2 linked regions of the Arabidopsis thaliana genome follow. The protein of the gene in region 1 interacts with the protein of each later gene in a pairwise test. Each region holds a gene or a part of one and is shown on either strand. Other genes may lie near its edges.

Evidence for each region. The genes of interacting proteins can lie anywhere in the genome.
Region 2: the proteins of AGL48 (region 1) and AT1G49475 interact in a two-hybrid assay, tested with the Arabidopsis thaliana proteins (one large-scale study listed by BioGRID).

What each region holds. Positions count from the first base shown.
Region 1 is NC_003071.7:16,792,610-16,795,983, reverse strand, and holds AGL48 (AGAMOUS-like 48), read left to right. Parts: upstream 1-1,655; coding exon 1,656-2,771; downstream 2,772-3,374.
Region 2 is NC_003070.9:18,311,122-18,314,753, reverse strand, and holds AT1G49475 (AP2/B3-like transcriptional factor family protein), read right to left. Parts: upstream 1,872-3,632; 5' UTR 1,772-1,871; coding exon 1,628-1,771; intron 1,528-1,627; coding exon 1,104-1,527; intron 1,011-1,103; coding exon 1,006-1,010; 3' UTR 655-1,005; downstream 1-654. Other genes in the region: RTV1 (uncharacterized protein), read left to right, coding at 1-158; AT1G49470 (transmembrane epididymal protein (DUF716)), read right to left, coding at 3,292-3,632.

The DNA of each region.
Region 1 (3,374 bases):
CATCCTTCAAAGTGTTTGGACATGATTTTGTCCGAATCCTAGCTTTCTTTGACTAAAAAGAGTTCTCCGTTTCTGTATTTCCCTTGTCCTGTGATTTCTTGTTTACTATGGTGTTTATTGGAAGTTGACAAGAAAAAATCAATTTTATTTTTTGTTTATGATTATATTTCGAATCTTTTAACAGTATTATACAAAATTTAAATTAAAAATAATCCCATATCTGACTGGGTTATACATGAATATTTCAATATTAATAATTAATTTAATTTATAATAATTATATATACAAAACACAACAAAATAGATTATTATATTTTCATTTGTTATATGAAATCACAACACTTTTCTATATCTTGGTTACGTAATAATTTAAGTGCACAAATATGGGTATGGTGATTCATATACTAGATAGAGATTGACATAAACTTTTCTAGAACCGATTATTTTGGTAATCAAATCATACAATGTTGTTTATGAAAGATCACCAGACAATGTGGAATAAAGCTTAGTTTTATTGTTTTCCTCTATATCTTGGTATTATTGAAATCTGGCAAAGTAGTACCAAACCGAATCCAAAAAAAACAAAATCGAGAAACAAAGAGAGTTACTACGTACACAAAAGAAAACATTCAACCACAACAACACAACGATGAGAGAAAAAAGATCGCTAAACAAAGAAAAAGAAAAAGATACAAGATGTCCATTAGAGTTTTAAGAATATATTATTCTCTTATATTTTTCCCTTAAAAGTATTGTTGTTTCAGTTTTTTGTATAAAACAATTATAAACAATTCTCAGTTTAGAGTCTCAATGTAATAACAAGAAAACATCTGAAGTAAAAAAAACAATTTATAAATAAAGAATTCAAGAGTCAACTTTTATGTATACATATGGTAATACATATATATATATATTTAATTCATACTATGTAAATATGAAAATGATACTTACACTGAAGAAAATGTATAGTCAACATTTAGTTTCCAAAATAATTATCTAACACTATGAATTAATATGATTCACAACAATGAAAATAATGTTAGTCAATATAATCATTAGCATTAAATAATGACAGAACAATTAATTAAATCATCAATTTGGTATATTGACTAGGACCTAAATTTGGACAGAAATTCAGTTATTTCAATTTTCTGTAATAGTACAATTAACCACATAAAGATTTTAACATGTTAATGGTTTGATTTGGATTTTAGTTTTTGTTTACTAGTATTGTTTTTAAAGAATAATCAATGTAAAACCAAATCCAATATAGTTTGGTAAATTTTTAATTAGCTTTGAATTCAGTTCTTAAACTTTTACTTTTTTAGCAAAATAAGTTTCATTTTTAGTCAATTTTCTATGGTATTTATGATATTTGAAAATAACTTTATAACCAAAACATAGGAAAATTCTAGTTTTTGAGTTGATATTTTCAACTTGGTTTAGATCTAAAAGGTTTGGTTTAACTAAAACATTACCATAGACATTCAATATTTTTTAGTAAGTAGCAATTAATTTTACATCTTTTGACTAGTATCATTTTCCAAAATCTCATCTTTTCAACACTATTTAAACGGATTCCCGCGCTAATCTTCATTCATATGCTCAACAACATTTAAAATTTTAAAAGAGAGAAATAAAAATCGAAGAGTGATCATGACAAGAAAGAAAGTAAAACTTGTATGGATCGAGAATGACAAGTCAAGAGCAACAAGTTTGCAAAAAATGAGGGTAGGATTACTTAAAAAGGTGAAAGAGCTAACCATATTGTGTGCTGTAAGGGCTATTGTAATCATTTTCAGCCCCGATAAGGTTGGACCATTGGTGTGGCCATCTCCTCAGGCGACTCATGGTCTCCTAGACGAATTTTTCGCTTTACCGAAGTCCGTGCAGAAGAAGAAAGAGTCAAATGTCGAATCCTACCTAAAAGAGAAGACACATAAGTTTCAAGAACAATTGAAGAAGAGTAAAAAGAAGAACAAGGAGCATGTCATTGATGAGCTGATGATGCAACTCCAAAGCGGTCGTGAAATTGCTGATCTTAACCAAAGTGAGATGTATGCCTTGTTATCTTTCTCAAGAGATACTATCCTACTTTGTAGGAAGAAACTAGCTTTCATGCAATTTCCTCCTCTTCGCGATCCACCAGTGTTTCCATTTGAAATACAAGTCGAAGAGTTCAAAACCACCACAAATGATGGTTTTGTAGGAGGCGGTCAAGATAATAAAAGAGCTGGAAGGACAGATGAAGCAACAAGATTCATCAACACCGATATATTTAAGCAGAGTAAAAGTTATTACTTTTTTGATGAATGGGTTTTTCCACCTAGTCCACCTAAATATGAAATACCGCAACAAATGGAGAACGGAAATCCAAACCCTAAAAGCTATCGTCTTTATCAAGGAAGCAGTAGCAACGGAAACCCTCATTTGGAAATGGATCCATTTCGTCTCCAAATGATGACTTCCCAAGGTTTGGCTGGGTCAGTCTCCCAACCTTTACAACATCACAGCATGATCAATAATCCAACAATGGCTATGAATCAACCAAGCCAAGATCCTTTTGATTACATGAGAAGTGAGCTGGGAATAAACGAAGGAATCAACATTAACAACTCACAATTTTACATGAGCAACAACACTATAACGGCTAATGATGGTGTTCGCCAAGAACCATATCCTAATGTAACAACCGCTGGAGAAAACAATGGTGATGCGACGACGTCTAATACCAACATGGTGTGGCCGGGTTTTAACAATCATCATTTCTAAACTCTTGATTTGGTTTGTGTTCTAAGTTTGTATGCGTTTATCTTTAAACTGTGTTTCTTTGTTTGTTTGTGGAGCTTTAAAAAGCTTTTCTTTTTGTTGTTTTAAACTTGTGTTTGTCTTTTTTTTTTCTACAAACTGTTGGTCATTTTGTTTCGTTGTTTTGGAATAAAAAATCTTTTTATTTTGTTGACTTTGAGTTGGTCATTTTGTTTCGTTGATTTTGACTATGCATTTTTATTTCATCGGAGACCTATCTCTTATTTCTATATTTTATTGTGATTTACTTTTTTTTTCCATCCTTAATCTTAATCATTAACCTGATTTTATTAAAATGCATACGTTTTTTTTTATATAAAAACATTAATAAGTATATGATGGATGAGTTGGCCAAATTTATAACAAATTTTCTTTAAAAACCCATAGAAACAAACAAATAATTTATTTTAACAGACAGAAAAAAAGAATATTTAACTTTTGATTCTCGTCCAAATTTCTTAAAAGCTAAGAATATATAAGCAAAAGGCCCATATTGTTATATGGGCTAAGAAAAAGGCCCATATATATATACCTCTACCCTAGGGTTTTCAAGGTATATATTCACAG
Region 2 (3,632 bases), on another chromosome or scaffold:
GCCTCTACAAAGCAGGGAGAGCTAAGTTTAGCCAAGGATGGTATGAGTTCACACTCGAGAACAATATAGGCGAAGGAGATGTATGTGTGTTTGAGCTACTCAGAACTCGGGATTTCGTTCTCGAAGTCACCGCCTTTCGTGTCAATGAGTATGTGTGACCAAAAAAGATTTCCCTTTCATCAGCGATCTTGCAGGTAGCTTTCCAAAGTTAAAATTTTATGTAGGGGTCTCTTAACCATTCTCTCTCTTGCATTGGTTGTCTCTGTTCTAGTAGTGTTTTGAGTGAAATTTCAGGTTCCTATGTTTGGATGTGGATAAGTATTTGACGATTATAATAACCTCTGAGTGGGAAACTCTTTGTTTGAGTGGTAGCTAGGTTCAAAAGTAGAGTTGTATATACTTTTATCTTCATCAGGATAATTATGTTTATTTGAATTGTTGATTATTATGGGTTTGTGTGGGTGAATCCATAAATGTAGTTGGCAAAGCTTGTTCTAGTTGGTTTAACTGTGAGGTGTAAGATGGTGAAAATATCACGACAAAGGGGGAAAAAAATATTATTGTGTAAAACTTGCAGAATCATTTCACCGTTCTAAGGTTTACCAATCAAAGCTTGGATTTCTCTTTTTTGAATGAGGAATTGCTTTTGCTATATTTCAGACAGGGCAAGCTTTTTTTTCGACATACACATTACATCACACAAACTGATAACAGGATCTCACAAGTTAGCCAAGTTCTTACTACAAAGTTCTTGCCAGGCTTGACAAGAATTTCCACTACACATATTACACAACGGGTCTTAAAAATGCCAAGTTCTTACTAAAAATTAAAGCTTGCAAATCTGTTTAACGAGCTAGAAACCAGAAACAAAAAACCGAAGAACTATTATGTGGTTTAACGAGCTAGGAACCGCAGAGATCTTTGTCGGAGAAACATACTTGCATAAGTTCTTCTTCAAGTCCTCTTCCTCAAGACTCCTCATAGCAATCTCTTCAACATCATCTACTAGTCTACAACAAAGAAGAAGAAGAACAAGAAATCACATAAAAGATACAAACAAAACCCACAAATCCTTCTTAAGAAATGTCTTATAAACATTTTACCAAGTATTATGACATTCTCAGACTTAATGTTGACTCTTGGTTTCTTCTTCTTCTTCTTCAACAATTCATCCATATCAACAACTTCACCATCATCATCACTACTTTCAAAACCAGTAAACCCTTGTTCATCATCATCCATAACTTCTTCTCTATTATCATCAGTATCATCCAATGGATATTCAATCTCAGAAGCAGACACATCAAAGATCACAACACGGAAACAAGAATCCCCTTCGTAATGAAAAAACAGAAAGTGACCATCACTTAAAGAGTGAGCCTCTGCAAACTCACTCCAACCTTTCTCGAACCAAACCTCATCACCGATTCTTTTAATCCGAATTGATCTCTTGAAACCAACAGGAGTCTGGAGAGTCACGTTGTCAGTGAGTTTAGGACCAAACCTCACAAATCTAGCCGGAACTTTCTGTCAAAAATTCACACATGCAAGCAAGTTTCAATTATTATTGTTTTTAAATGAAAAAGATGAACATACAAAAAGTGGGTGAAATATTTTTTTACTGTACCATCATTTTTTCTATGATTCTTGAGAGGAGAATAATCTTGATGAATTTCTTCACCGTCGGTTCTGGCTCCGGTTTTAGCCGGCGTTGAGTTGCTGCCGACGTGATTGGACCCGGTGATCTCCGGTTAGTATGCATATTCCTCATTTGTGTTTGTTTCTTGCCAAGAAGAGATTTTTGTTAAGGAGAGAAGGAAATTGAAAAGTGAAGAGGAAGCACTTTAGATTCCCAAGAATCCTTTATTTAGTTTATTACACATTGGAAAAAGTTAAAAGTCTTTTAGATTCCCAAGAATCCTTTATTTAGTTTGTAATAAATTTTTCAACTAAAATCAGAAATATTAAAGTTGATAGAAAGTAAAGAAGATTATACTGAAAATGAAGTAAATACTAGAAAAACGGTACAAATGAAGTAAATACTAGATTTGTTAAATAAACTAAAATTTTTGTTGATCAGACAAAAAAAGAAGTAAAAAACCATATAAACTGTGGAGATATGATTATTTTTTCGTGACTCGTGATGTTAATTCCCTATATAGAAATGTTTGTTTCTAATTTATCATAAAAATCTTTCTGCATAAAATGTTTGAGTAACTGAAATTCAGTTAGTTACCGTCAAAAACTATTGTATATTACTATATTGCATGAGTTTTAATGAGTTGAATGGATGTAATCTTGCATTTTTTGTACGTAAAACGTAGATTTGCATTAAACTGATAGTTTAATTTGCAATATATTATCTCCTAAATTAATAATTTGACCCTAATGTTTAACTCTGTTAGCTTTCTTTCACCCTACATATTACAACTAAATATATATATATGAAGTATTTTAATTTATGGAGGTAAGGTGGATATATCATATATGCAATGATAAAAACTTGGCTGCTCAATCAAAAGTTTTATTTTATTTTATTTTGTTAACAAAGGATAGTTTGGGCTTGAAAATTAAATTTAAATATCTTATTGATCAACATTCAACACACAACACTAATTCTTGCTAGACATAAACAAAACAAAAGTTTTCACCGCAAAACTACGTTGCAGAAGATACCAAAACTATTACATGTACTTAACAACTATATAGTAAAAAAAATAAAATATATTCTGGTGAGTGTTATCATCGATAATACGCTCATCAAAATTTGTTATTGCACTAAAGCTTTCCATCATTTCTGATATCGGCCAAGCGAAAATAATAAATGGTTATACATGATCAATTATTTAGCAGTCAATATTTCATCAACACAACGTATACTCTTATATAAATGTACTTTTTGTACAGCCTCTTTTAAATGTACTTGATAAATAACCTTTCAATCATAGGTATATCATTTTAAGTGAGGGTTATATTTTGACATAAAACATATAAATTTGTTATTATCATCTACAACCAAGTTTTAGTGTTAATTTATTTATTTTATTTCTGTTTAGCAAGAATTAGGGATATATTAGTAAGTTATTAAATTTAATTTTCAAACTCGTAACCAAGTTGTTGCTATATGCAAATTTTTATTAGTTCACAAAGCATGCGAAAGGGTCCACTATCATTAGTGCGTTACACTCTGCCCCCTCTTATAAATTATGTAACTATTATTAGGGCTACTTATTAGTGTACTATATGTACATATTACATCATATTCAGATGATAAATTAAAGTAAGGAAAATCTATTGTTGATCGGAACTGGCCGGTGCTTCCACCGTTACGGTTGCAGAACGATCACTTCCTTGCCGGCAAAGACGCTCGTACTCCAACGATGACCTAATCTTAGGCAACACAACTTTACCGGAATACTTGAGGCACAAGGCACATGTAATGATAAGTATAGCAGACAACATCCAACTAAACTGCAGATTCGCCAATGCTTTTGCCCTAATCTCAGCACCAGGGGACTCACAAGCCACCGCACCACTATGATAAACACTCCTTCTATTATTGTCTGTAGATGTTGACATGTTACTCACGCAACCTCTAGGAACATACTCTGGGATCCAAAGCATGAACCCCA